Oreochromis niloticus: one gene and its partners. The protein of the gene in region 3 purifies or fractionates together with the protein of the main gene of each other region. This does not show direct contact. Links are inferred from orthologs where the notes say so. Each region holds a gene or a part of one and is shown on either strand. Other genes may lie near its edges.

What was found.
Region 1: the proteins of adra1d (region 3) and ctnnal1 purify together in Homo sapiens (tandem affinity purification; 3 studies listed by IntAct, with this or other methods). This does not show direct contact. The link is inferred for Oreochromis niloticus from reciprocal best matches to the Homo sapiens genes ADRA1D and CTNNAL1.
Region 2: the proteins of adra1d (region 3) and sntb1 purify together in Homo sapiens (tandem affinity purification; 4 studies listed by BioGRID and IntAct, with this or other methods). This does not show direct contact. The link is inferred for Oreochromis niloticus from reciprocal best matches to the Homo sapiens genes ADRA1D and SNTB1.
Region 4: the proteins of adra1d (region 3) and dtna purify together in Homo sapiens (tandem affinity purification; 4 studies listed by BioGRID and IntAct, with this or other methods). This does not show direct contact. The link is inferred for Oreochromis niloticus from reciprocal best matches to the Homo sapiens genes ADRA1D and DTNA.

What each region holds. Positions count from the first base shown.
Region 1 is NC_031985.2:23,066,717-23,074,635, reverse strand, and holds the start of ctnnal1 (alpha-catulin), read right to left. Parts: upstream 3,014-7,919; 5' UTR 2,619-3,013; coding exon 2,523-2,618; intron 1-2,522. UniProt on the Homo sapiens protein: May modulate the Rho pathway signaling by providing a scaffold for the Lbc Rho guanine nucleotide exchange factor (ARHGEF1).
Region 2 is NC_031976.2:8,169,986-8,177,860, forward strand, and holds the start of sntb1 (beta-1-syntrophin), read right to left. Parts: upstream 3,013-7,875; 5' UTR 2,266-3,012; coding exon 1,722-2,265; intron 1-1,721. UniProt on the Homo sapiens protein: Adapter protein that binds to and probably organizes the subcellular localization of a variety of membrane proteins. May link various receptors to the actin cytoskeleton and the dystrophin glycoprotein complex.
Region 3 is NC_031971.2:20,780,774-20,788,501, reverse strand, and holds the start of adra1d (alpha-1D adrenergic receptor), read right to left. Parts: upstream 3,010-7,728; 5' UTR 2,567-3,009; coding exon 1,612-2,566; intron 1-1,611. UniProt on the Homo sapiens protein: This alpha-adrenergic receptor mediates its effect through the influx of extracellular calcium.
Region 4 is NC_031982.2:18,410,493-18,418,188, reverse strand, and holds the start of dtna (dystrobrevin alpha), read right to left. Parts: upstream 3,017-7,696; 5' UTR 2,772-3,016; coding exon 2,755-2,771; intron 331-2,754; coding exon 263-330; intron 1-262. Other genes in the region: ccdc178 (coiled-coil domain-containing protein 178), read left to right, coding at 6,509-6,566. UniProt on the Homo sapiens protein: May be involved in the formation and stability of synapses as well as being involved in the clustering of nicotinic acetylcholine receptors.

The DNA of each region.
Region 1 (7,919 bases), on a different chromosome or scaffold from region 3:
CGCACACACACAAACACACACACGCATACATACAACGCTCCTTAAGAAGACAAGCTGCAGAACACAGCCCTCACAGTCAGTGTTTCTAAGTACACTAATTCAATTGATGCGCATGTATGGCAATACTCATTCTCAGAAATGTCACATAAGGGCGTTAACAAAGTTATCATACACACCTGAAGCCAGGTAATTTTATTATCACAGCTGGGTTAACCATCAGTCTTTCTACTGACTTTTCTCACAAAGCGTATACGAACCACAGATTTCTTCTTCTCTCATTCAGTGCACACACAAAAACACATAAACAGCAAGCGTTCAGGATTGTTTTCCTGTAAATTGTGGTGAAGTTCTTGCAGATATATTAGCCGTTATTTTCCAGTGTACCTACTGTAATCTACAACAGCAGTTTCTTACTGGAAAAAGTATTTAGAATACTAACAGTTGTTTTGTTGCCATTAATTATTATTTTTTCATTAATTTAGATATTGCACATTCCTTGTGGAATCTCAATAAGCAGTTTATTATCATATCATGACACCTGCAAGTCACCATCCTTACAATCAGAATAAAGCTTACTGTCCTTCTTGAATTATGACAAGACAACAGCTTTGTTGCTGCTCTATTCACTGCATTTTAGACAGAAAATGAAGGCTAGCTGGTCATGATTACTCATACAAACAATTTTCTACCTTAAGCAATTATTCTTTGAATCTATTGCATCTCCACAAACAGAAGAAAAGGCTGACTTAAGCCCCGAGAGAAAGTCTTGTTTCAAAATCTAAATTCAAATAACATCCACTGTCAGAATCAGATTGTCAAAATTATTGCTTCTGTAAAATAGACTAATCATTTCATACTCAGAATAATTTCTTTAAAAAAAACAAAACAAAAAAGTTTTGTGCATTTTTGCACACAAAGACCTGTGTATCAGTTAACAGTGACCTTGTTCTTATGACAAAACGACAACAAAATATTACATATGGAGTTGACGGTCCTTGAAAATGTGGTTTCTTTCAGCATTGCAGAGCTCTGTTGCTATGGGGACATGCCTTACACTGAGAAAAAAAGAAAATTAGGAAACACTGTCCTTGAGGCCCTCTATGGACTGTAATAAGCTGAATGCATATTACAGTTTACCCCTCTACAGACGGGAGCCCAGCCAATAACTCAGCGGGCAGGAGTGCACCATAAGTTTGCTGGACTGTAAATATTACACTAACACAAGGGATGGGACTTTTATTGTACACTTTTGCGCATTATTCCAGCAGTACTTAGTGCGAATATTGTTCCCCCAACTCCTGCTTGCACTACCGGTATACACTTGCACAGATTTAGCTCTGATTTATCATACTACATGGAAAGCACATCCCTCTAACAGATGTCCTTTTCTGATAAGTAACCCATATCTATTCAGGACAGGATGACCTTATATCTTTCAAATGAGCCTGTGCAATAAGAGGGAGGAAGCAGGTTGTCAGTGAGCACAGGAGGAGCAGGAACAGTGTCATGGGCCTCCCAGTGTGGTATTATCCAGCCTCTGTTAACCCAGCAGTGAGATGCTGATTTCTCCCACTGTCTTTCCAGTGAAAACCACAACCCTGTCCTACAAAACAGGGGGATATTAGCATTTATAAGACTAGTGGTCACTTCCCTATTCAGGAGCAGACGACTTCCCCATTTTTTGTGACATGCTGGAAACAAGAGCGGAAGATAGTCATGCAAATCAAAGCCTAAAATGGCCCAAACAGCCTCAAGTTTCTAACCAAAATACAATAAAACGATTCATTAACTCATTGACCTAAGCTCCTTGTTTTGTTTAATCCGGGGACTGTTAAAGTGTGCAAGAGTGGAGAGTTGCTGAAGGAGTGCAGTGGCCTTAAGTGGGTCCTTCATTTTCCCGTGTTTATTGAAAAACAAAGCACGTGCTTTAAAGTGGCTCAATTAGAGAAGAGAGAGCCACAGCTCGGGGACAGCTCAGGAGTGGCGAAGGAGGACTTCAGGGAAAACTCTTACGGCTTCTGGGCTACTCTCTGAAGAGTGTGAAGACTTCCTGGAGAGTTTGTGATCGCCTCACAAAGATAAAGAACCATCATCATAATTAATTTTATTGTCTTCTGGGTGTGAACAGTTTCACTACCCTGCATTGTTCTAGTCTGTTATGTAATTCTGTAAATCACAAACTTCCCTAGTTACCCGTTCAGCGTATCCACAGCTTATTTTCTTCAGACTTGGCTGTGCCCACCTTTGTAACTTAAGACAACTTTGAGTATTGTTACTTTTCCGTTTTCTACAACAGTTACAGGACGACCACAGTGTCGTAACTTGAACTATTCACACGTGGGACTGCTTTTAAACGCAGCACGGGAAGGAAGCACGCACTGCAGACACAGTGCACAAATAGGTAAACAACAGAATCGGTGTCATGTGCTCGACACAGCTGTAAAGTCAAAGTGTGGTTTGAGAGCGCAAGGGCTTCGGATACGACAACTAAACGTCACGATTTAGGTTTCCGGAGTACTCACCTGCGAAACTAAAGGAATAAGCGTCTGCTCCACCGAGCGAGTTTTGATTTCCAGACCGGAATCAAAGTTACTGTTGCCGCACGGAGATGAAGCCATTCCCGCCGAGCTTTCTCTCTCTCTCGCTCTCTCCCTGACTGACACACACTCTCACACACACATACACACAATGCACGCCACTAACTGAGTTTACCGAGAGCCTCTGCTTTGCTGTTTCGCATTTGCAAACTGGTGTAACGGACTTGGGATTACACTCCGGGGGTTTCGCAGTCGGTCGTCGAGTGGCTCTCCACGCACGCACGCAGTTTTAATCCACTCCAGCTCGGTGGTTGTGCCGCTGCGCCCGCTAATGTCCATGTACTTTACTCAACTACGGCAGGGAGCGGACTGCAGCACACCACTGTGGGCAACCACGCACAGAGCACGCACACGCAGTCGGCTTTTCACTGCTGACTGCTTAAGTGGGGAGCGCTGAGCAGTTCATCATTGTGTGCACTGCACAGTGATGATCCGGGAGCTATTTATGTTTTAATATACAGTACGTGTTCACGCACGTGGCAATTACAGTTACGTCATTTAAGTATTAATTACATTTCAAATTGATCTATAGTGCGCCTAGAAGAAGGGACATTATAAAGGGAAATGCATCATTAATTGATGTAAATGTACTTTTTTTTTTATTGCTTTTGAAAATGAATGAAGATTTCATGGCTCTGGGCATCAGAGAGGAAGGGGCATTGCCTCACTCACACCACAGTTCTGGTTTGATCTCTGAGACACAGAATCCTATATTATCCCCTGGAGTGTGAGAATGCCTTACTTTCCCTCTGGAAAGCCTCACCAGACATACCAATTAAAACCAGGCAGCACTAAAGCACATGGACTGGGATCTTATGAAGTTACAAATGTTACCCTTTGTCTGTCTTGAGGGAAAACATTCATTTTCATGATGTACCATTTGATGTCCTCTAGGCTGTGAAACTAAAAAGGGATCTCGAGTGACTGCATTGGTAAGCCTGCAGTAAAGTTCTTGTGTTTTAATTCTGCCTCCTTATTTTGGTGGTAATCAGCTAAACTGCATTGAACGCTGACATTTTGTTATCTGGAACAAAAGGGAACGAGCGGATCTGCCTGAATTCCTACAATCAAAACAGTTATTTCTTACGCAGACTTTAATAAATGACTGAAAATTTAGTTATGAAAGCTTTGCATCACTAATGACATTCATTTCAGTTAGAGGTGTTGCTGACTTCCTTTTACAACCATTTCCCCCCCCTGGTTTTCATTATTTGGCCAAAAGAGAGAGTCAAAACATGTATCTCTACTGAACTTACCCAGATGTATTTCCCAAATTCCCCAGGTGTCCAGTCCTTTTACAGATCACAGCCTATGTTTGAATTCTACAAACCTTTAAACCTTTTCTTTCACACTCCGAAATGAGGAGGAAACGTCTCATCCTTGTGATGCCTCTTCTTATTTCGTGACCTGGTGATTTGTATCCGCAGAACAGAACCGAATGTACTTTGTGGCTGCCTGTATCCGAGGCCGACCAAACGACTGCCAAAATTCTCAGTTTCCTCAAGCGGGTCCGGAAGCTATTTCTAACTTTACAAGTGCAGTCAGTGGATGACAAGTGGTGAGAAACGATTCACATTACAAACACAGCAGATGGCAGAGACCAGATACGGCTTATAAGCACCGTGGCACTGTTAGTGACGCCTTTTGCTGCCTGCTTTATCATCACCTATGGTGGCTGGCTGGCACTCTTGTGTCAGCAGTGGAGACAACTATTGTGTTTGTGTGAGTGTATGTGTCTGCCACTCTCAGGCCTAGCCAGTATTTATTTAAAACCCCAGAGCTATGCTTTAGTTTAACCCTCCCTGTTTACATTGGTTTCACTCCACACACATACACACATATATTCACAAGCAGACATGTACACACCCACACAAATACACACGTTTGCAATGCATCATTATGAAGGCATGCAAGTAGGTTGGCTGCTGTGTGGACAAGGTTCTGCTCCACCTTGATGAATGGCTCTACTACCAGCTAGATAGTATCTGTATGTTTCTTGGTAATCTGCGCTGAGGCTCTTTTCCAGCTGATAAGGCGATAAACTCCACTCGGGTTCCTTTTTGCATTGTGGTGTATTAGCTTGTTTTGGCTGAAATGATGCTGGTCACAGCATTTAAGTTCAAGTGGAAGAGTGAGATAAGAAATATGATACATCCTGTAACATTTTGACTGAAATAGATTAGTTATCACCAAGACGGATAGCTTCCAATACACAATCTGAACCAAACGCAGTTGCGTGTCTGTTCTTGTTTCTTTCCTTTTCCTTTTTTTGTCATCGCCACATCCGAGCTGTGACACTGGCTTGTTTTTCTAAACAGCATCTCATTTGTTCTGGAATATTCAATATTTGCTCTTTTGCCTCTAATCTCTTTGAGGCATGCTCCATTTTGACAATTTGCCTGAAACGGCACATAAGCAGGGAGCCCCTGATGTGTATGTTCGTCTCGCACAGTCCAAGGGTATTGCTCATTAAATAAAAGATGCTTATGCGTGGTGTGATTGTGTTGCTAACAGCTGCTACTGTCTCTTCCCGTGCTTTAGAAGTGCTGACTTCCCTCTCTCGCTCGCTCTCTCTCTGGATCATTCCTTCTGGTTGTACAGCTCCTGGGACGGGAACTGCTGAGCCTAAAGAGATAGTGATTTCGCAGTCTACAAGATGTAAAATGAGTGCACTCAGTCATAGTCCCCTGCTGGATAAGTAGATTGAAATTTGGGGATTTCAAAGGGAGGATTGTGGTGGAATGTTGATGGATTTTTTTTCCCCTTGCATTTTTTAAAACAGTAGAACATTTTCAGCTGGAGGAAACAACCCATGCCTGCATGAAAGCATGCTTTTAATGCGCATGTTTGTGATCACAATCTTCCTCACACATTCGCACAACATTATTTTTCATTGTTTTTCTTAGCAGCTTAATGCAGTTGTTATGCACAGCTTAGAAATTCATGTCCTCCGGGGGAAACTGTAACCTACAGCGTGCTGATCAGATGAACTTAGGTCTTGCACGTAAAGCTGCCGTGGCCTTCACAGAGACCTGCAGCTGAACTCATCCCCTTAGCACGATACAGTGACCGCAGAGACCTCTGTGAAAGAGAGGAGTTCAGGCTGAGGTGAGGTGTCCTGCTTGGCTGTTCAGCTGGATTTGCATTGCTTTTATTTAAGTGACCTATAGTTATGTTGCGGCTTAAAGGTTTCAGTTGTCTGTAATGTTAGATGAGTTTAATCCCAGGTGTTTATGGTGTGGTGGTGTCAGAGGATATTGCACTGCCTGAGTGAAAACAATATGCAGAGAATAACAGACACTGGCTGGAAAGACATTTTAATATGTTCAAAATAAAAAGGAGAGTTAAGTACAAGTGCTAATAAGAAGCGGGTCATGTTATCCTTCTGCCAAGGAGGCGCCCTCGGGGACAAGACAAATTTAATTGTACATAAACAAAACCAGGCAGCAGCAAAGTGGCATGCAGACACCCCAGCCCTGCAATCTCGGCTTTTCCGCGTCTCCATTTCTGCTGTTACATAATCACGGACACCTCACATAGCCTCATTATCATTCTGTTTTCATCCAGATCACCTTTTTTTCCTTTTTTTCCCTCCTTTTTCTGAAGGCTGCCTCGTTTGTCAGAGATGCTTTCTGCTGTTTGAAATAACAAACACATGGGACCGTGTGGAGATGACACACATAAATGGTTATTAGTTTAATTTGCATTCTCGCACGCAAGTGCGCACCAAGATAATCCCACTTCTTTCACCTTGAAGAAAGAGCTCGGAGAAAGTATTCACAGTGAGCTGTTGCAAAATGCTGTTATCACTTGGGAGTTTGGAATTGTAAAAGCATGACTATAGACTCATTAGGTGTGCTTTTGTAGACTCTTGCAACTACAGTGGCAAAGTATGCCTTTTTGTGGGTTTGAAAAACCAGAACGATATTTTATTAGATATTAAAAAAATATATTAGAAGGTCTCTTCATCGTCCATCAGCCCCTAAGTACTCTTGTAGAATATAAAATTCAATCTAGTGATTCTCTAATTTACTATATTCTAACAAAACTATCTTCAGAGATCCTTGGTTGCACCTGTAGGCAATAAATGGTACAATAAAATGAATGAGTGGAACATTTAAAGACATTTTGTGTATTCATTCATCCTTGTGAGATTTTCACCATTTTGTGGAAATTATTTAGAAGTGTGTTTCTACATTTCTGTCAGGATTCAGACTTTCTGAAGTAACAACAGAAAGAATAGCATTAGTTTTATCATTAATGTAACATGAAAAGTTCTATATATAATGAAAACACAGAAAAAGTAAAGAAACCTGCATTTATATCCACAACATTTGTCATGATATGGACTCCAGACTCTGTTAACTAATCATAAATCCATTACTGTGGATTTCTTATCAAACTGACCTCGCTGACATACACAAAATAGCAGGAAACAACGTTTTTATCTTCCAAGCATAACCTCATGATGAGGCCATCAGCATTGATGCAGAGTGCATCAGCTGGATAAATTAAAGTACTTTGTGTGAATTGAATTACAAGAGTTTTTACAGTGTAAAGATGTGTTCACATAACCATATACACCCTGTTTTCCACTTTATGAGAGATGAATGGGATCTTTCCTAAATAAATCTCCCCTCTCCTCCAATGACCTGTTACATTTGATCGAATTAATCATGCGTTATGTAAGCAACCACAGAGACACAAGCGGATGAGAGATAATACAGATACTTCGTCACAGATGAAGCTCTTTGGCTGCATCTGAAAATGGCTTTTCTGCCACTCATGAGCTGACACTCCAAAGATGAGAGCCATAGGGTATCCTCCACATGGCGTGCGCCCCATAGAGAGGTTGTCTCACCCTGCCAAGTCTGTCTAAATCCCGCTTCACTGTGACTGAGGAGGGACAACAATAGCAAGCCGGGCATAATCTATTTTCTGCTGAAGTGTTGGTGACAGGGTGTCTGTTTTGTCTTTGTCACACCCGTATACCGTAAGTCAGCATGGTCAGAGGTGAGCCAACACAGGCCCAACACCCTCCCTTCCTTCATCCTTTCTCACTTTCCTTATTATTTGGGTCTGTCCCTGTTTGTCTTGGCTACACTGTCATTTATGATATGACTTAAGGCCTCACAGTCTCCATCACATTTTCCCCTCTGATCCTGTCAAATAGGTGCCCCGAAAACTTCTTGTTACAAAAGTGTCAGCTGTTGAAGCCCAAAAAGCCCAGGGGGCTTTTTTCTTTTTCTTTTTTTCTTTACAAGTAAGGTTGTCTGGCTAGCAGCTAGCTCAGCTGCGATCACTCACCCTCAATACAGAGTG
Region 2 (7,875 bases), on a different chromosome or scaffold from region 3:
GATTACAAACATCCACGTACAAATCTTTTGCACATTTGCAGACAAAATGCACTAACACACTCTATTCCCACGGGACAGGTACGATCTCCTAAAAGATACATCAGATGTTTCCTCTTGATCCCTTTTCTTATACGATACAGTCTGCCTCTCTCAAATCTTTTCAAGGTGGCTCCCACTCAAGAATAAAATAAAATGGTGCTGATATTTAGGTTTGACATATCACTATTCATTCGATTTTACTTTACATTTGACTAATTGATGCCATTTTGTTGTGCAACACCTTCATGTGTTACCCAATTTCTCACGTGCAAATTATCTCTCTTAAATAGCAGTTACTGTGAAAATACTAACCCTCACAGTAATCTTTATTTCAGCCTCTTTAAATCTCTTGTTAACTGTCCTTCTGTTTCAGTCTCTCATCCACTCAGTCTCCCATTAAATGCTCTTATACCCCTCATTTTTCTCTCTCTTCACCTTCCTCTGCTCCAATCTCCTCTGCCCTTCTTTCAGATCGTGATACAATTTTCAGCTGGGACCAGCATGTCCCCATGAGGAGGGTGATCACCGTGTTTGTGTATCTGAGATGAGAGAGAGTCGTGTGCACGTGTGCATGGGAGAGAGGGAGAGAGAGAGGGAGAGAGAGAGAGAGTGAGAGTGAGAGAGTGACACTTTGTTCTTATTGTCTTGGGTCCAAGAGTCCTCTTAGGGACAGGAATTAAAGAACTGAGAAGTAGGCACTTATGTGCAACAGTTTCCTGTATAAAGGAATGTGTGTGCATGTGTGTGTGTGTGTCTTCACCTTTCTCAGTGTGGCTACCCACAGCCTAATCTTGATCTTTTAGCTGAAAGCAACTGTAAAAAAAATGAACAGGCTGCACATTTGAGGAAGCAAAAAAGGCCAGAGGAAGGGAAAAGATATGAGTTTGATGTTGCATGATTGTCCCATGGCACATCTAGTTGCATAATACCTATTTCCTTAATCTCAATTATTCTTTTCTGCAAAAAGCAATCAGTCTGTAACCTGTTTCCAAATTATGTAATAAAACAGCACCAAATGCCAGTGTTGTTCAAGACTCGGATGACTGCAATCTAATTTGATATAAACAGGGTGAATTAATATCAGCTGCTGGAATAATATTTACTTTCCCGGGTATAACAACCAGCACCTCTCTTCTTTAATGTAAAATAAATTACATCCTACAGCAGAGGTCAAAGTGGAAGCTGTGTTTTTCCCTTTTCTTTTCTTTTTTCCTTCACATTCTATTGCTGCAATAAGTGAGTGACAAGTGACTGTAATTAACTGGAAAGTAGAAAATAAAAAACGTGTCTATTGGACCTGATCGACCCAAAACCCAAGTCTAAAAAGGCAACCATGTGGAGCCAGAGGTTCTTCCGACATTACAGGTGTCATTCAGTGAAGGAGCACTGATCTCCTCACGTCTTTATGTGAGTTTATGGGCATCCCAAAAATATTACGCAACATTTGAGAAACTGACACACAAACTGTTGTGGGATATGTTACACTCAGCTCTTACCGTCGGGGTACGCTTTTCACTCCTTCACTAAATAAAATCTGTACTTGCACGAACATTCACAGAGGCTTCCAAAAAACAACCCGTAATCTACTCAATCAATGGGAGGTTCCCCGACCTCTACCTCTCTTTCAGGTGTTCCTCTATTTCTTTTATCCTCTCACATGCCTCCTCTCCAGTATGCCTTACCTTCCAGAGTCACCTCTTTCCCGGCTCGTTTCAGCGCCTGCACAGCCTCGTCGTGGGTCGCGTCCCGCAGGTTCATACCGTTCACGGACAGGATCGCGTCCCCCACATACAGAGACTGGGTCTGGTCCGCTGCGAGCCCCTTGAATATTTTACTTATGAGGATGGGCATCTTATTCTCCTTCCCTCCTTTGATGCTAATCCCGAGTCCCCCGACTTCCTGCTTGGTCACCTTGACGCACCGCTTTTTGTTGGCGATCGCCTCGGGTACCCGGTCCGGGAGGTCCGTGAACGCGGTGCGCACAGTTTGGGGGCCATTGTTGGAGTTGGTATTACTGTTGTCATGGTAAGATCCGTTGGTAACGCCGTTAGAGTTGACATTGTCATCGACACTCTCGTTAACGTTGCTCTCACAGCTTAACGTGAGCGCTTCCTCGTTCAAGTTGACCAAAACTTTGTGCCACTGCTCTCGCACCAAAACCTCTACAAATCCACTTTTTTGCACTCCAGAGCCAATCGGAACTCCAGTCGCTACTACCACCGCCATCTTTGGAGCATTTCTGTAAAAAATCACATGTGGTTTAGTTCCCAGCGCGCTCGCAAGTTCCACCCTATCTTCTTCTCGCCCGGGCTGGACTTTGCCCCCTCTGAAGTTTTCTGCAGGACTTATATCGAGCGTCCCGTCCGACCAGCCCGAGCTCTTTCAGCGCAAACTCCCCCTCCGCTCTGCCTGCCCAAGATCCTATCTGCTGGGTGGAGTTTTCCTCCCCCCGCCGTCAGCCGATCCCATCTCCAGATCCCGCTTGTACAAAATGTGTACATCATTTCCCAACTTCTTGTAAAACACGCTAACCAGTGCAGAGGTAAACAAACACCGCGAAGATTAGGCAAAAATTCACTTTTCATCCATTCCAGCTACATCAAACCGACAAGACTACCATGATGTGTGCCTACACTACTGTCATGTTAGAGTTGGCTTTACGAATCTTTTACACTGGCAGGAAAATAAAATGTAATTTGTGGAGTAGAATATTTTTTGTTTTGTGCGCTCTTGGGTAAGATGGAACTGAAGTCACGGAAAATTGGCATTTTTTTTCCCACGGCGGTAGATTTTTAAAGACATATTTAAATAATATTAATTAGAAGAAGAATCAAATAGGCTATATGACTAGAACTAATTTCCAGTCTTCCAAGTGTCTAGTGGGTCCCATTCTTCTACGAAAGCCCGTTTTTCCGTGGGTGAAGTGAGAAGGTTTTACGCGCGTACAGGAATGCGTCTGTGCGGGTTGTTTCGAAGAACGAAAGAAGAGAGGGAGCACGTTTTTCTCTGAAGCTCTGTCAGGGAAGGCCTCCCTCTAAGGCTTTGTTTTGTCTACTATTATTCTAAAGGACGTCCTTACGCCCTGTCAATCATGCGCGATCCAGAAAGCTGAAAAAAAAAGTCAGTCAGCTTAGACCTTGAGAGCGCAGCTGGAGATGTCAGCATAGTGACCGGAGCTTCTCGGAGTATCGCTGGTCAGGCGGACCTTTCTTCACAGGCTTAACCCCTGTGTTCAAGTCTAGTGAGTGACTGACAGTGAGGCTGAGACAAAATCAGTTTCATCTCATCACCAGCTCCTGACTGCATCTCAGTAAAAGCTGGAATACTGAGAACAAGAAAATGTTTAATGTAAACGTCTTTAGCTCCGCAGCTGTCTGGCTGTGGATCTTACTCACAGCTGCTCAAGTGCTGAAACGTGGTGAAGTAGACCACAGTGTCACACTAAACTATTAGAAATGTTGCTACGACACCTACCGGTGACGCCTTTAAATACTAAATACTAGAGCTTCTTTAGTGATTTAGTGAATGTATGACTTGGCTGCAGACTGCTAATATAGAGTATTTTACCTCTGTTTTGTGCCATATGTGCACAATTAGTTTGTGTGTGGGATTAAGTTAAAATGTGTCATTAAAAGTTGTTCAGTTATGGAAATATATAGTACAGCGTGGGAGACAAGCTTCCCTACAAGCCTGCCCTCAAAACTATGTCAGATCATTACTACTGAGCTGCACCAAAGACATGATTAACTTGTTTATTGTGAACAAGAGACTGCAACAGAAATACAAAGAATATTTTTAGTTTAATGAGGTGTAGGAGCTACAAGCGATTTTTACTTTTATATGGAAATGAGCTGTCACGTGAAATGTACAATCTTTGTTGTGATAATGACCTTCAAAACAAACAAAGAAACAGAGAGAGAGAGTGCTATCTTTTTAAAGGTGATGGTACTTAAAGGTGTTAATAAATCTTTTTTATATCCCTCCTCGCCCGGCGACTTGATTGCACATTTTGTTTTCAGTGCACCAGAGAGCAGCTGCACAGAGGTGTGGTTACACACAAACACACATGTTCTGTGTTGTGGGTCTGTGAACTGGCTTTCTGGCAATAATTAAGAGGGGGAAGCAGTCAGATGAAGACTTACGTGACGCACGTGTGGCCCGATCTTGTTTTGAGCTTTGTTTTTTATTATTATTATTATTATTATTTGACTTTTTATTGAATAATTTATTCCTTCAGGGCCACCAATGGCACCAAGGGGGGAAAACACACACACTAATTCGTAAAGCTCACTCTGGTTTATCTTTTTCCCCATCTCTCTTCAGCTTTTCTTCAACATCCATCTCTAGTTTTACTAGGCTAATCCTCCCTACTAGGCCTATTTTACCCTAAAAGCATGGATGCTGTGTTTAAAAAAACTTGTCAGCTGCAACATGTTTCAGCTGACAAGTTGAAAAATAGGAAGCTAAAGACCAGGAAAGATGCATAATCCTATAAATAAATAAAGCATTTTTTTCAACAAAAAAGTGAAAAGAATTTGGAGATGATACATTTTCTAAATTTTATTGAATGGCTGTTGTGTATGGCCTATTAATACATGTAATTCTATAGAGGAAACCATTTCAAGGGCTCAGAGACACTTCTGAAAGCCACAGCTACGCAAGGGAGATAACTGTTTGGTGATATGATGAATAAAATGTGAAAATATCTTTTAGGAAATCACAAGAGACGACCATCCAGCTTGCTATCAGTCCATAAGTTTAAAAGGCAGCCCACAGTCTAAAAAGCTGCATCTATGATGAAGTGGAGGGCATTAATGCACATGAATAACTTGCTCTGTAACTGCACCATTAATGCCGAATGATATATACAAGTTTTGGAGGGACAAATGCTTTTTTCCAGAGATCTTTTTCCAGGGGAAGACCTTGCTTAATTCAGTAAGACAATGCCAAACCACATTCTGCATGTATAATCAGAGCCCTGCAGTCTGGGTGCCAAGCAGGAAAAACTAATATATTTGGTGCATTATGAAATGAAACATACAACAAATGAGGCACTTAACTGTTGAGCAAAACCTTTCACTGTCAATTTTCAAAAAGCTTATAGAGCTGATGCGACTCAGTGAGAGACATGGCCCTACCTCAGCTTTTTAGAAACATGTATAGTCATCATATTGCCTCACCAATACACTTTTTATCTATTAGTTTTAACTGGAATGAGAATCGAGTACAATGAGAGAACCTTTTTAAGTTTGCTGCTTTAAGACTGACATGTCAGTTTTCCAATATACAGTGTATACAGGGGGAAAACATGGTGGAAATGACCATTGCTTGGTGGCACATACATCTTTGTGCTTGTTGCAAACAGAATGAGGACACGCTCTTCATAGACCAAGAAAAAAACGATCAGGATTTTGTAAAATATGCTTCTCAAATGAATTAAATGAACACTTGAGATCTCAATGGGAAAGAAAAATCATGCTGGATATCTGTACTCATATCAACTGAGTAATGTGTTAGGAATGAAATGATGCCACATTGTTTGGCGGATATGAAAATTATCAACCAAATCAAAGGGGGGAAAATGATGCAGCAGGCTAGTCCATTACCAGTAGTCCAGTAACTCAAGATGTTAGTTTGTATGGCCCCCACATGCATGTGTGCATACCTGATGATGTCAGGGCTCCTAACGATACACAGTTGGTGTCTTGGGGGATCTTCTCGCAGATCTGGGGCAGGGGCGAATCTAGAATGGTGGCATGGGGTGGCATGCGCCACCCTAAAATGATTTTTTGCCGCCCCTATTACAGCCCAAGTTTTACATATGACAGAGTTGTTTATTAAAATAAGACAGCATTAACACTTTGAACCTAGCTATTATTAACACTAAATATAAATTATAAAACTGAATATATTACATAGTGTTAACCCCCCTCCACCATTAACAAATGGTTCAGCCCATATGCCAACCGGATTTATTTCTTGTTTACAGTAGCAACCCATGCCTATGATTGTGCCAGAGCACATTTTGAATCAACACCACGGGCATTTCAGATTTCACACAGGTGGTTGGTTGTCACACTTTGAAAATGGAATGAAGGTGAGTTTTATTAACCCTCTGAGGTCCAGGACACACCTGACTGATTTAAGCTGATACAGCAACAAGCTGCAGCCACGCTGAGTCTCTATTTAAGCTTGTGTTGAAAGTTCGGACTTCAAAGTATACACCAGTTTTTAAATTTTAATAGCAGGCCACTAAATCTAGAGTTATGATTAAAAAAAATACATATGTTTAGTGCAGAAGAAGTGTTTGTTTTTTTGTTTTGTTTTGTTTTGTTTTTTAAAAAGCATTTTCTAAGGACAGCGCGAAAACAGTAAAGAAAGGAAAAAAAGCCACCTCTTTCCTACTGGTGGAAAAATGTACGATTTTAACCAATAAAAAAAATGACAACATGAACCAAAGATAGAGAGCGATATCGACAGCGAGTTTTGAGATGTGGGAGATTTGTGACGTTTAGCGTGGAGTGTATAGTTAGTGTGCTGTGTATTCGCTGTTTTGTTTTGTGTGTCAGTGAGGGCACTAATGAATGTGACAAAGGCAGATTGTAATGTAAACACTGTCTCCAGGTGGAGTGATACACCCGTTGTCAGGCCTGCAGGGTTTATCGGTGTCTCCTCTGTCTTGTGGCGGACAAACAATTTTTTTTACTGGCACAAATAATTTGTGGGTCATCTTATTGTGACACCTGATTGTTCTCTCATTTTCGTTATAGCAGTATTTTTAAATGGTTATACAAAAAATCAAACTGCCAGGTGCATTGGCTGCATTTTTAGATAAATAGTTGTATATAACATTATTGTTTACAAAATTTGTGCATAGGTTTTCAAAATTTAAAATTTATATTTGCATTTCAAGTTATGAAAATAATTTACTAAACATGTCTGTGTTTTTTACAGTAAAAAACAACAAAGGATTTTATGTTTTTTGTGTGATTTCAGATCAGTTATGTTAATATAGTAAGTCAATGAAAAAATAACTGTAAATTCAGATTTCTAACATTTTGTGTGGCCATTCAGTAATATCACTTCAGTGTTGTTTATGTGTTGATACACAGTAACTTGATGTTAAACCTTATTAGTCCGACAGAAACAAAAAATAAGCAGCAATAAGCAGCAAATTAGGTTTAAGCAAAATAAATGATCTGTTACTTAGTGGTTAATTTTAGTTTTATCAGCACATGATGGTTTGGCAAAGAAAACAAGTACTCCTGAGAGTTTGGGACACTCTTTTTGGTAAATATATTTTATTTTGAATTATATTAGAAACCACAGGTATACAGTTTCAATCAAAGTTTCATCGCCACTCTGTGCCTTCATGGCTTACATGACTGAGCCCGTCTATCCATTCACCTGTTCTTTCATATTTCCCGCCTCCTCATCCTCTCATATTTCTACTGACTTACAAAACTTTTTCCCAGCAAAAATATTTTTTCTTTTACTTTGATTACAGGAAAAGCACAGCTGAAACAAATTAGATTTGTGTTCCAGTAAGCCATGTAAGTGAGTCAGCGTGCACACCACAAGGATGCTGGATCTACTCCACCCAAATGGAAAGCAGTTCTTGTCTACATGTAGCAGAACGCTGGATGGACATTAGAAAGACCAGATATATTTACTGGTTAGCTTGCAATTGAGATTTGTGCATATGGATAAGGGGGTGGTGTGATGCTGAATGGTGAAAAGGGGGCTGGGACATTAAGTTAATGGCAACTGGACAACTGACTGACACAAAGCTATGCAAATATGTGAGAAGCCAGCTGTCAGTGTGACATGCTGGTG
Region 3 (7,728 bases):
CGAGGTGCACAAATTGATTAATAATGTGTGTAATGAAATGTGTACTGACTTTTAGCATTTTAAACCTTTAAATTTCATTCCTGTCATTTTTAATCACACGTCGAGGATGGAGTATCTGTCTGACTTAGGCATACAAATAAACTTGCCCTTTTCTTTCCCATTAAGTGAATAAAATGATAAGTAGCACCAATTTCATTTCATGCACCCCGTGTGTCCCTGCAGGCTTTGCTCTAATACTTCCAGTCTGTAAAAGGAGAGGTGCAGCAAGAATCAGAGTGCTGTGTTAGTGCTATGCCCAGTAAGATAGTGGCCATTTGTTCTGAATGGCTCTCACAATCAATTATGTGAAATATATGCAAAATGAAAATCCGTGGTGCCACCATTAACATGTGGCACCAGAGCTCTGTTAGTCTAACTCTAGGTGACTCTAGTCTAGCCTGAATCCTGCTGCGTAGGCACGCTTTATTTATTCAGTTTTGCATTTCAATCATTCTTTTTGTTGCTAATATCCATATTGCCTCTTTTTGTGTTTTAAGTTGTTCATTTATGTCCAGTTTTGTCTTTAAATTTAAAGCTATTTCCATTTGATTCCACTCTAAAATGTGTTCGTTCAGTTTGATTTATGTGTTGCCTTAAAGACTGAATTGGTCACCCTCAGCGGATGGCCTTTTCAACCATCTGCAGGGGGAAGAGAGGATCTCTTTGCCTGATTTGAATCTTACATCCCACTCTCTCAGTACTGTAGTCAACTTAATGAATATCCTCAACAATAAAACATAAATGTTTATTCCTTAAAATCATGCCTGTCTGAGTTTTTACCAAGGTAAGTAGCCGGCTGGAACTGGTCATCAGTGAAGAATGTCAGTCTGTTATGACTGTTCTTTGAAAAATGTGATATTAGCCATATGAAGGAATAATTACAGTCATGGAAAAATTACAGGCATGAAAACAAACCACTTTAATGGTCATGTTGCAGAGCTGACCTTTCCTGACAAAAGAATTTGTTTTTGTAGCATTATAGCATCTTAATTTTCATCACTTCCTGGCATAGCTCCCAAAATAAACTCCGTATCAAAACCAGAACACGCAATTTTCTTCTTTTGTTATGCCAAACGCTGATTTTACAGAGTTTATCAACAGCTTGAAAAGGTTTTCTTAAATTGAAATTCACGGAATTTCATGCGTTTAGGCTTCCTTTGCGACCATAATTTTGAGTCTTTTATAAAAGTCTGTGCAGCTGTCAAGAGGAGCTGCTTAGACGCAAACGGTTTCAATCACAGTGTCAATTTCTTATACTGAACACGACCCATTTAGTCAGAACGTTTTACTTTGGACCGATTTGCATCTCACACATGATCAGTTCAGGAGTAAAATCATAAATCATAGCAGGCCCGAAACAGGCTTGTTTGTTGCTCTTAAAGATAGAAACTTTTTAAAGGCGCATTTAGGAGAGGAACATTTATAAGAAGTCATATTCTCCGTCTTTTGCAGGAGTCTGGAGGAAATGCAACAGACTGAATCCTATTTTACGCAGGACCCAGCTCATGACCCAGCATGAAGTGCTGAGAAACGATGATATAAAAATAAAACAGATCAATAAATAAAACATACCCATTGGCAGAAAGAAGAAAAAGGGCAGCCAGCAGAGGATGAACATCCCCACCACTATGGCCAGGGTTTTCGCAGCCTTTTTCTCCCTGGAGAACTTCATCAGCCGCACGGAGAGCGAACTTCGAAACGGGTGGTTTTTGCTGCTTTTTGAGCTCGACGGACGCGCGTCCTCCAGCACGCTGCGACAGTGTATCCGCAGGACCACTTCCATCGACTTATTTCTCTCCCGTTTGACTCCCGCTTCCAGGCTCCGAGTAGTCCTGCGGGCCACCACGTACACCCTAAAATACATGATGAGAATGACCATGAGCGGGAGGTAGAAAGAGAAAAGCGAGGAGAAGAGCGCGTATCCCGGCTCCTCTGTGATCCTGCAGATGCTTTCGTCCACAGGCGGCGGTTCCTTCCATCCCAGGAGCGGACCGACCGAGATCACAACAGATGATACCCACACTAGGACTAAAATAGCCACTGCCTTTCGCTCAGTCATAATACTTGGGTACTTAAGGCAATATTTCACGCCGATATAACGGTCGATGGAGATCATACAGAGGCTGAGGATGGATGCCGTGCAGCAAAGCACATCCACGGCTGCCCAGATGTTACAGAAAACCCGGCCAAACACCCAGCATCCCAGCACCTCTAGAGATGCAGAGAAGGGCAGCACAATAATGCCCAACAGGAGGTCTGCTATGGCTAAGTTGACAATGAAGAAGTTTGTGACGGTCTGTAACTGTTTGTTGCACACCACAGACAGGATAACCATAATATTCCCAACAATTGCCACCAAAATAAAAACGGAGAGAAAGATCCCAACACCGACAACCTGTGAGTCCATTGTGAAGTTCCTGCATGTGGTGATGCTGTCATTTGGTAACATCTGGTCCAAAACAGATCCATTAAAAGAAGTGAAAAACAGCCCATGGTTGCTTTCGTTCCTCAAGTTAGAGTCTGTCATTTTGAAACGCCATAAAGAGAAGTAAGGGAGTAAGTTTTCTGAAGAAAGCAGTGTGACACGCGTCGTTCTCAGTCTCCTTTCATTGTCTTTCCAGTAAGGTTGCCAAGCAGCCGTTCACACTGTCAGCATTTGTCACGGGTCAAGCGAAGGGAAAGTAAAAAGCAACTAAACTGAATAAAAAAATAAAAAATAAAACCGATGGAAAAAAAACCCTGTAAAAACTACATCCACAAAGACTGACTCGTGATTAGTGTTAAACTCACTTAAACGTGTATGTACACAATGTTTAATAAACTATAAAGTTTGGATGCCATTTTTAAATATCATTACAAAAAACAAATTAGGTAAATTTAAACATATTTCTTCCATGCGACGGGTTTCCACTGCTGGCATCCTTCATAACAAATCCCAGAGTCAGAGCTGGTACAGCAGGTCTGAACCTACTGCACAGCTCCACCCACACCACAAAAAACATAATGATGGGCTCACAGTCTCCACCAGAGAGCGTATATGTGGTCACGAATTCTGCATGACCGCTGCAAGTGTACAAGCCTTAAATGCTCCAGTGCTTTTTTATCACCAGGGTGATGAAGATGCGCTTATAGGCAAATAAAGTTTGACCAAAGAAACAAACAAAACAAAGCAAAAGGACACATGTTGGAGGTTTATTTATTTATCATACACCAGAATAAGCCTCTCTTTCATGCTATAAGCATAAAACAGTGCCACATCGCTGAGATCATCCAAACTGCCACCAGGCACCGACAAGCCATACTGACCCCTGGTGTGAAAATGCGAGTGCCTTCAGGCAAAGTGGTAAAGCTTCCCAGTGACACTGCAGCTGCTTTCTCCAGGCCTGGTGTGCATAGCTGAAGTAGAAAGACGGGCCTGCACAAACACTAGGGAGCCCAGAGGAGAGGAAAGGTCAAGAGGCAGGGTCACAGAGAGGCCAAACAAACCCTGCATGGAAAACGATCAACCCAAAACTACCGGTCTGTTTAGTGTAGCAACAGAGCGTGTTGTGACACACAGTTAATACATGTCTCCAGGATGAATCTCAAACATGTCTTGGCGAAAAGTAATCAACGACACCTAAACACACCACACCAGGATGCTGTGGTGTGTGGATTCACATACATATTTATAGAAGACAGTGTCTAGCTTTTGCTGGTACTGGACTATTGCTCTCCTGCGTGCTGAATGCTCCCCGCTGATAGTGATATCTACATCATGTTAGATTGAAACAAATGATTGCCTATTTCCAAGTGTCCATCCTGCAGGTGCGTGCAAATTCAGTAGCACTTTCTTTCTTTCATATTTCGTAATAAGAAGTACTGAATCATGCATTGAATGAAAAGCAACTTAGGAAAAACTTCACTAGTTTTCATATCACACAAGGCGGCAGAGCACTCTCAGAGATCCATAATTACAGCTGAGACCTCTTCAGATTGGTTGGTTCCCCCCCCCCCCCCCCAAAAGACCCTAATGATGATTACACACCAGATAACAAAATTGCTGGATGGATGGATAAAAACTGAAGAGACAACTTTTCTATTCTTAGATCCTTCGGGCTGCAAAAATGTGTCAAATTTACCCTAATAACAGAGTCAGTTAGTGAGTGTTGGTGAAAGTGCTCAATGCTTTTAAAATTTTTGCTTCTAAAATATATGTTCATAGAAAAAAACTCACAAAAAAACAAGCTGTAAATTAGGTACGACATGCTTCAAACATGACATGCCCACCCGTCACCTCATTCGACCCTACAACACTGAGGCACTCTACTTCCTGTTTTCATACTGAACACTGGCTCTGGACTGAAATGTCAGGTATGCAGTGTCCAGTATGACGAGTTCAGTTCAAATCAATTCAATTTATATATATATATAGCGCTAAATCACAACAACAGTCACCTCAAGGCACTTTATATGAAAAGGTAGATCCTATAATAACACAAATACAGACCCCCTATGAGCAAGCACTTTGGTGACATTGGGAAGGAAAGGAAAGGACTAGTCAGAGTTGATAGAAAGAAGAAATATTTCTTCTTTCTGATTGTCATCCTTGCATGCAGCTATAGTTTGAGCTAAGTAGCAGAAATGCTCACCAGAGTTAGTATCACCATCAGAATTTATTCATTAGGGAATGTGAATTTGTTAACCATTTCCATGCTAACGCACTGAATGTGATCACAGAAAATATGGCGGTTGGCAGTGAGCAGTGAGACTGACTGTCCATCAAACCAAGTAGCTGAGCAGTTTAGATAAAAAGCCCCAAAGATATATTAGCAGCTTGGGTCTAATATCGACTCAGGAGTCTGGCTACGGGCAGCAGCATTTCTGTTTCTAGTCACGGTGAGTCTGCTCAGCTGTCAGAGCACATCCTTTATTATTAAATTTATAAAAAAGAAAAGCTACAATCTCATCCAGCCCACCTGTTCCTCCTTATAAGAGAGCTAAATCCGCAGTCATGCAGAAAGGACTTTAGACCGCACTAACGCAGGAGATATTTGGACGAGCATGTTAGAGAATGTTTGAGGTAATGATACATGGGATGAACTGGAGGTCACTAAAAGTAATGTCCTTACCAACCCGCTCAAGATTTCCACTCAGGCAGTTGAAATAAGAGAATTTCACATCCACATTTGGATAAATGGGTAAGATTTATAGTCCCTACTTTATGGAGTGACCCCACTATAGTCAAATATTTTATTCCTCACTAAATTCTCAAAGTTTAAATATTGATTATTGTGTTCAAAAGTCAGTACAGTGCATAAGTGCAGCTCTATTCATCTGATGTCACTGTTCCACCAACAAATTGGAGAATAAAGCCAACAGTCAAACCTCAGAGTCAGAGTTTTGTTTCATATTCAGTGTACAAACTGAAAAAATACTTTGATCTTTTTTCACCCTTTTTTTGTTCAGACTACAAAGGAATATGTTTTACTGTCTGACACACAGTGCCAAAAGATTTTGTTCATTTACAGTAGCGGTGGGAATTTTGCATTATGTGGTAAAAAACAAACAAATGTACTGCACGCAGAATGAGTGTTTGCAGTTTTTGTTTTTTCCTATTCAGTTTTATGTCATTGGAATTTTGTTTTTACTTATATGTAGGCATTTATTTTGTAAAGTGCCTCCAGGCATTTAATATTGTAAGGCAAAGACACTTCACTATTTCAGAAAAAACTTCAACCATCATGAATCTGACGATCTCCTGTGAGTGAGCAGTCGGCGACAGTGGGGAGGAAAAACTTCCCTTTAACAGGAACATTTAATGACACGCAGTAGCGGCTTCTGGCTTGCTGTGAGGGGTAATCCTAACATTTCCTGCTTCTCATTTTTTATGTGTATGTGATGATGCTTGATCTCTATAAATCAACTGTGAGTCGTTGTGTGCATTTCTGTGTTGTTCTCTCTACCCTGACTCGGGGACCGCCCTGCTTCCTGTGGAGCCAGTGGTTTGCCTTCATATCTCAGGAACGCAACTGATGATCAAAGTCAATTTTTCACAACCTCTGCCCCATTCCACTCACCCTCAGAGGCTTTTGACCTCTATCAAAATTCCTGGTATTTCCTATGATAACGTACTGTATGTTTCCAGTGAGAAAAATGCCATTGTAGCCTTTACAGCCTAAATCATTTCTTAAGCAGTCAGCCATCGACGTGTTAAAAGTAAAACATTCCTCGTGTGATTTATCTATTTCTCTCTGCGTTATACTGAATGTTTGAAATGATGTTTCAAGCTGTCAGAGAGTGGAAGGACGAGTAATCTGCTGCCTGCTCATATCTTCGGTTCCATTTGTTATGGTGCTAACCCAGATTTTTGCATATTTAGACATTACACACGCACACAGACACATAAACACATTCTTCCTCTTTCCTCTCAATATGGCAATCTGCACTAGACTTTGAATGTGTGCCATCTTATCAGTTCTCAGCAGAGTGCTTGGATTCAGTCGGCCACAAGTCATGCTTTGATTTCGGCTCATACACAACTGTTCAAAGGCTAAAATGTTTTAATAGGTCAAACAGTCAGAGGTTTGTTATACTGCTTCTCGAATTGCAATATTTTGTATCTCGGAAGGTAACTGGCCTGCAAGTGTGTTATTTAAAAAAACATCATCAAAGACAATGCAAACTTTCCATATTTTTAAGAATTAGTTAAAGAAAATAAAGAAAAATTTGTGGACTTCCTAATACGGCTTTCAAAAACATATTTGCTGTAAATCAAAGCTATTTTGCATCAGAGTCGGAGAGCTGCTCTTTTCACCCAGGCTTCACTGTAAATCCAGCAGCAACAACAACATATGGCTCTCTGCTTGTATTCAAAAGTGTTGATTTACACCTTGGAAACGTTCCTCAAAGAGCTCTGTGAGCAGATGGGAAAATTTGTTGCCTGTTTTCATTTAACAGGATCTAAATTGGGGCATTTTTCACACTTTTCCAATGCTTAATTAGTGCCATTACAAAAAGAACACATAGCTGCAAGTGGAAATGGGTGAACAGAGAAGCAGTGTCATTATGTTTTCACCATTTATCATGTCCATTCTGCCTTTGACGATGCAGATAGTTCTCTATTTTATCCTTAACCTTCCAGGCAAGATGTATTTATAGAAATATTTTTTGTCTATATCTATTTAATTTATATTTTGAATGTCTTGATATATAGATTTTTATCCAAAATCTAAAATTATATCATTATGTGACTCAAAATGTAGACTTTTTTTAATGTATTCTTATTTCATTTTTCCCCATATTTATGTATGTATAATTCTGGACCCAGTCAGTGACATCATAATACTTTTAATGCATAAAGACTGGGCTTACAAATAGGCCAGCTAAAGGATAAGCACGATTTCTGACTCTAAGCTTTTAAATTAAGATGTTTGAAACTAGTCTCAAATGTGGACTGCTATCATGGCAGCTGTGGAATGCAAATCATATTATGATTGTCAGTTTGGATTGGCATGTTATGAGATTATTCTGTTTGTATAAAAGTTATAGGGGTCATGGCACAGGACCTGAAACAGACCAGAGTACCAGCATGCATGAAGAGGAGAATCTGAATCACTGGGAATGATATGCTCTAAGAATTAGAAATGAGCTGTTTCAGATTCTCTCACGAAAGTCTCAGGACAGATGTGGTCTTTTTCAGGCCTAATT
Region 4 (7,696 bases), on a different chromosome or scaffold from region 3:
ATATTAATAAGCTGTATTCCAATAAATTTAAATTAGCGCCTTCACACTGTGCGAACAGACAGCATGAGGTCATACTGCAGGCCTGTGTGTTTAAAAATCAATGTGGTTGACACTTGATCTTTATGATATTTGCTGTACATGAAACTTACAGAGAGAGAGAAAGAGAGAGAGAGAGGGAGAGAGAAAGAAATTGCCAGTTTTACGGTCATTGAGTTAAACAGTCCAGCATAGATCACAGTGAGCTGCGGCCCTGAGCACTTACTCATCTCCACCAACAGTTGCCTTCTATCTGCCATGGTGTCAACGCTCTGCCCGCAGTCTTCAATCATTCTGATCAAGAGGAGAGAAAACAGCGTCAGAACCCGAGTGCCTCAGCATTAGCAGTCGCAACCTCAGGGTGCTCTTCCTCAAGCTTAACATCAACATTAGACACACATCGTTATGACTCAGTGATAATGGCAGTAGATTAAACTCTTGACTTTTAAAGCAATGACTCCTAAACTTGATACAAACGCAGCTTCTCTGTTCTGGTTATCTAAAGTTTAATCAGTTGTGGATATCCTGATAATTCAGCTAAAAGTTGGCTAAAAGCCTTTCACCTGACTTATTCCAGACAAGGGGACAGACTTACTAAATGAGCACATGAGCGCAATAAGTTGCAAGCGATCGCTTGATATCATTAATTTTGATAACAAGCATGTCTTATTTTTTGCACTTTTTTCAGCATTAAATATCAGTGCAATTAGCAAAAAACTGTCCCAAATGTTAATAAATGTTTGCACACCCAATTTTAACATTCTCTTACCGATATTTTGCACCATGTGAAAGAAGCTCCCAGAAATGCATATGCACCAAGGTCAGTAGCAAAAATCAGTGTTTCTGCCTCTTAAATGCAGGTGTGTTTTTTTTAGCTTAAAATAGCCCAAAAAGTCTGCTTTAGATTGCTGGAAGGATGGCAGAGATGTAACACAATTAAACTTCCATCCGTGACATGAAGGTTAAGCACATGTTATAATTCTGAGTTTGCTAACTTACTATGACATTTACAGCAGAAGATTTCTCGTGCACTTCACCATAAAACTGCTAAGTGCCTCCTGCGTACTATATAATGAGGCATTGCTCCCAATTTACCACAGATAATAACAGTATTAAGATGGCTACTTTGTTTTGGTATATCAAGCAACTGACAGGAGCTCATCAACAGGTTGAGAACATCCAAATTTGGTACAGGATATTAATATTATTAATATTTAGTCTGGTGAAGTTTGAACTCATCAAATTAACGTGGTTAGCCAGTTATTCACTTTAGATGCCAACAGTAACAGAGTGTTTAATGTATTTATCACAGTTCCCAATGCAGGAACCCCAGCAACACTCCTTCAACTACTTTATCACAGTTCCCTCATTTTTTGTGTTCGGAAAGGCTAATAAAAGGTCACTGCTCTTTAATTTCCTTACATAAAGAGAAATTAACAGATAAAAATGATCACAAGAGCTGTCGGTGTGTAAACTTCTTAAAAAAACCCAAAAACATCAAAGGGAGCCAAAAGGGGCCCACGGCTCATTGTGCCCCATCATCCCACTGCAGGACAATCCGGCTGTGATAACATCATGCTATACTCCAAATTTGAGAGTATTCATATTTTGTAAACTGCAACTTGAATGCAGCGCAGTGCGGTGGTTATCGGAATATGTTTAAGTTGGACAAGGAGAGGAGTTTGAAAGGGGCAGAGCTGCAGAGAGAGAATGCTCACACCATGCCTCGCTGCACACTGTCCGAGGCAATCTAATACACCTAGTCATGTGGTTTTGTTGCTATGGCAGCAAAGATCCTAGCCGCTTCACTCGTTAAAACACACACTCATACACACACACACACACACACACACACACATATAACACCTCCCACTGCAGACGAGCAAAGTTTGTAGAGAAAAGTTTTTCACCAGTAAATATCTTTTATGAGATAACGGTCGGCGGGCTGATACTTGAGCGCACAGTGACACTTCTTGGGCGAGTGGCTTGAAAACGCTTTTTCTGTGAGACAGTCATTCAGGCATGCTTTTTCAAATTACTCTGACAGTAATTGGTAGACCCAAATATTATGCTGCAGAGATGCGTGGTGCAGAAATTAGAATTCACCTAGTGTTAAAATGCAAACAACACCACAGTTTTCTGGCCCACCTCCTGCTTGCCTTCCTCTGATTCTTGCCAGTGCAGGCAGTCAGTTATGGAGCACTAGGAATGTTTGAAATCCACTTCAAGAGGGGAGAATTAAGCTAATAAGTTAACTTGGAATTATAGGATAAAGTGCAGTATTTCAGTAAATTACTTCACAATAGAGCACAGATCAAAACGGCCACAGAAGAATTCAAACGCTGCCCTCTAATATCGCAAATAATAAATCCCATCAATTTAAAGGGAATGATGAATACAACCACAGCGCTTTTAGATGCAATGTAATGTCAGGCCACTGCCAGCAGCCACAAGTCCAATGTCATCATGAAAGCAATGGATATTCAATCCCATTTATCACTTCCAGACTAAGCAAATATAAAAGTGTACAAATATACAGCATTGTCTAGATTAAAAGTGATACCCTTTGCCACATCACAGGCAAACACATCCAGAGTGCCAGCTACGTGACCTTCTGCGGTCTGTTTTCATTCTTGGAAATAACTGAGATTGATACAATCTATTGCCAGAGCTGATATTAAACCAGTGCGGGGAAGGGAACGACATGATCAACCTTACCTTTCATAAAGCACCATGTTCGTATTCCTTTCCCCCCCTTTCCTGAGCAGAGTTATTACAAAGCCAGGTCGACCTTTCTCCTAAAACAACCGTCCATGACACAAACTCCTTTCAAACAAAACGGGCCCGTGCGGACGGGCCAAACCGAACACATCTGAAACTAGAAACTGTGAGCCAGGATACAGCATGTGCTGTCACTATCTTTAACTACAAATGAGAAGGTGCCACATTCTTCTACAGCTTTGCCGGATCTCTAGTTGCAGACCCCCACAAAACATCGTGCCTGACATCTGGCCCTGGCAAACATTACTCACTCTCTGTGGCACTGCCACACTGGAAGTATTAGAAAATAACTGCCCTTAAAAGAGCAAATCATCTTTTACCACTAACAGTCCAGAGAGAGAGTTAGTGTGACTCATTCCTGCAAGACTCTTGGCCGTGTTTAGCCCTGCCACTCTCTATCCCACACACCCCCCCTTTTCCTTTTTTACGCTGCACAGCATTTCTGCTGGACAAATATCAGACCAAAACAAGCCTTATTAGTCAGTTATTTACATTTTGATTCTATTTCTGCAGCGGCGCGATTAAGAAAAAAAAAAAAAAACCTGAGGAGAGCACTGTTAATTTATGTCCTCCTCCGTGTACTTGGACCAGGCTGACATGCAACAATTCCAAACACAAGCACTTACTAGAGTTACAGTCCAATCTGTGCCGCTGGCTTGGGACAGTACATCGCAGCTGTTACCACTGATTGGCCAGAGTTATTTTTATATCACGAGACTGAACTACACTGGCATCCAAATCCCATCTCCAGACAGGAATTTAAAAAAAAAAAAAACAAGAGGGAAAAGCTGCACTGCTGACTAAAGGTTAATCAACTGTTCTGCTGTGGTGTAGTAAAGGTAGTCAGACGGTGTTCTCCTCATGCCTGGTACCAGCCGGTGATGTCTGCCGGGAGGGCTCTCTGTCACCTGCTGATGATCACCATGGTTTCAGCTGCAAAAAGGGGAAGAACTTTGGGACCCTGACGTTAAAAGAGAGCGCAGACACTGATTTATGGGTAGCAAGTGTCCCAGTGAGTTCTTTGCATGAATTAAGAAGCTTGAATTCTGTAATGTCACAAGAAAACAAACAAGGGGATTAAGTTTGCATGGTTGCCTGTCTAACTATGCAATGTGAAAGCCAACATGGAAACACAAATTTGCACTGAAGAGAGATGCACCTCTGGGTATGGACTCAGTGATGTTGCCCTGTGGAGGTTAGGGCAGCATTACTAAAATCCTAAGAAAGGTAGCAGGACATTGGGGGGTGGGGTGGCAACAGGCACCCTGTGGTACACGCTCAGCCCTCATGCATCACCTGTCATACTCGAGACACCTGTGTGGACATGAGACAAAAGGTCTCACTATTGTAGGAACACCTACCCCCACCCCTTCCTTCCCATTATCCGCGTTTCACTACCTGCACATCTCCCGTTTTAAATCACCCAAAACTTGCCAAACTCATTTCACCCGGAGGGGCAAAGTGGGTTAAGCTCGCTCCTCTCGTTGCCCGTCAGTCTCCCTCCTCCCGCGACTGCAGCAGCAGCACTTTGCACAACACTTACCAGAATTTATTTCGAGGCATGCCATGCAACATCACTGTTTTTCCATCCGCGAATTCGTCGTCGTGTCCCGGGGCGCGATCACGGTTTCTTTGGTGTAGGCTGCTGCATCGCTGCACGTAAGCGGCCGTGCCCGAGCCGCTCTCCGGCACCTCCGAAAAAAAAGCTTGTGTTGTGGAAGAAAATGTTTTTCAGGCAGCGCACACTGGCTGATCGGAACAAGGCAGCTTCTGCCTCCAATATGTGGCCTCCGCGATGACGTAATGCGGAATCTCTTCACTTGCGTCAGCGTGGCAGCAAAAATGTTAAAGTTTGATACAACAAAATATTTTAAAAAGATGCTAAAAACATAAAGGAGCAGATTATGGCGCATAATAACGTGGTCTTATATACACGCATACATGAGGTCGTTTGCAAGTTGCGGCTTTTCGGCATCATGTGGCTTAAAGAAGATGACGTCATGCAGATGAAACAAGTGCAAACCTAATAAAAACAAGAGTGGACAAATAGTTGCGTTAATGGTGACCGAAGTGCAATAATATATCTGTAGGTAGACTACCATTGATTACTTTTTGACTATTATTTTTAATGTGGTTTTGTAACATGCGCTCTTTTCATCATTTGTTTCTTGTTTACTTTAGCGTTTATCTTTTCAGTTCCGATTGTGCTGATAGTCTCGCACTCTAGTTTTTCATGTTTATATGTAATGTTTCTTTATGTTAAATTTGTATTTACGTCTTTAAATGTAACTGGAAGAAGATTGTGAGCTATTCAGGGCAGAGCTTATGTGAATCATAACGAAAACATCATTAAACAAAAAAACAAACAAAACAAAAATATTAACAAAAGGAAAACCCGGGACCAAACCTAAATAAAGACACTACCCTGCCATTACCACACACACATACACACACACACACACACAAAATAAAAAAAACGATAAAAAAAAACAACAATAAAATATTACACTGTTTAAGATTACATTTTTGTACATAAGTGTAGAGTTTTAGAAAGTCCTAAAATGTTTATTCATCGTTAAAATAACCAAACACATTGTAAGAGAGAGATGATATGGCAACAGCATAGCAGCAGTGATGCTAATTCAGTGCGTTTCAGTTTTACTTTTATATATAGTACAATATTACATACAGACATTCACATGGCTTCATAGGCATAACAAACGTTATCAGATTTGATATCATCTTCTTTCTTTTAGATTTGCCTGTTAGTTTATAAATTCAGCGGTTAATGTTTTAATGGTCACATATTTTATATGAAACTTCAAAATAAATCTCCAAAGTGCGTTCCAAGATGGCTGCTGAGTGGTGTTTAAAACTAACGCTTTCTGTGGGATTCTTGGACAATAGGTTACTGAAGTAGGATTGCTGTACCTATAATCGCCTAAAAACATAAAAAATAAAAGTTGAATTTGACATTAATCCCACCTTTGTGAAAAATAATGTGTTTTTAAAAAATAAAAAAGTAGCTAATTTCACATGACTGTAGGAGACCTCCCCGTGCAGCTAAACAGCTGCTGCTCTTGAACGTAACTCGCCCTTCCCGAGCGTACAGGGCCCCCTTGTTGCTAAGCAACCTTCGAAGAAGATTGACAGCAACTTCAGTTGATTCATTCGAAGAAAACTTTAAAGAAGGGGCAACTTGTATTTGTTGCTGGTCAGCTGCGAGGTATTTAATTCAGAAGAGCAGTATCACAGTTTAAGACAGTTCTCTGATGGCTGCCAGCCAGAAGCGTATTAATACAAGTAAGTTGATAGCCATTCATTTTTCCGCTTTCACTTTGTGCCATGACAACGACCTCCCCCAGCTCATTAATTTGTCATTAGCTCAGTTAATTAAACGTTAACTTAACGTTAGCTAAAAGAGCGGCATCCGGAGATGAGTGAAGGTATCAACTTGCACTTAGCGCAACTTTGACCCAAAGTTCAACGACAGGAATTAAATCTATTATAACCCGAGTGACAGAAATATTTAGCTACCAATTATATTTTTCTGTTTTTTGGAGCTAAAGATCCAGGTTGAGCTTAGACAATGAAGGTTAACTGATGTCTCTCCCGCTTTTACAGTGCGCTGAAAAGTTGCTCTATTGTCAGCGATGTGTTCTTTTTAATACATTTTGGGGAAGTTGCAGCAATGCCGGACGTTGAACCCCTCAGATTCCCATCCAGGGAAGGACGACCAAGTCAACAAGGTGAGAAGAGAAGCGATGCACCTGCAAATAAATCCACTTTAACTCTACACACTTTACAACAAGCAGTCTAAATTAATAACGTTAGGGATGTTTTTTTTAGGCTAACACCCTGTTTAAATGTAGAGGCTTGTTATGTGTTAGGCAGTCTTCCAGGCAGTGCTTAAGCATCTGCACCACACAGAGCTATTAAAATGCTGAGTAAATGTAATGATATTTAATGATGTTGAAGAAATGTCACTATCTAACATCATTGGCAAAAATGGCACTGCAAGTGAGGCTCACATGGGCCTCCTCTGTGGCTATAATACACCCTGCCAGTATGATTTAGAGCTAATTCAGCCCACCACTGACATATTGCCTTAGCACCTTCCTACCCAACTTCAGAGTGTATTATTCATCTCAGCTGTTCAGCAGCAGATGGTCTTCCTTTTAGTTTTTCCCTTTTTTTCCCCAGTCTCTTTACTTAGTCTGAGCTACTTCACTCAGAAGCTGTTCTGGAAGCATCATGATAAGATAACTGGTCTCAGTCACGTGGAAAAGGTTGCAGATGTCACTGTCTCGGTCTTTTTGTTGTTGAGACGAGTTTGCAAACTCCTCAAGGGCACACACTTTCTCCTGTGAAGCATAGGTAAGGTTGGTCAGTGTCCGTGTTACCTTACTTAATAGATGTCTTTGGATTTTCTTGCTGTTTTTGGCTTTTAATAACAAAAATGTATTTTATGCTTGAGTAAATTAAACCCCAATTAAAAATATATTTCCTCTGGTGGACGGCTAATACTGTCAGGGTCCTGGCTTTGTTGAGCTTTGGATTCTTGTTTAGTATTTATTGAGATTTTGGTTCCTGTTTTGATTAGACCCTTGTTTTTGTAATGTGTTTATTCGCTCTCTGTTCTATTGTTTTCCCCCTCACTCCTCATGGTTATTATTATTATTGTTATTATCATTATTTTTGATTACTATTGAAGGTTTGCCTTTTCACTGGGTCTTACATCATGCTTTTTATGTCTTCTCTACACCATTCAACCTGACTGGAGCCAATTTTGTCTTTATACTTAGGAAAAACCCTGGGGGCAGTTGTTGTTGCATATGGGCTTCACCTGTTTATCACATCTAAAGGACTGAAACCACAA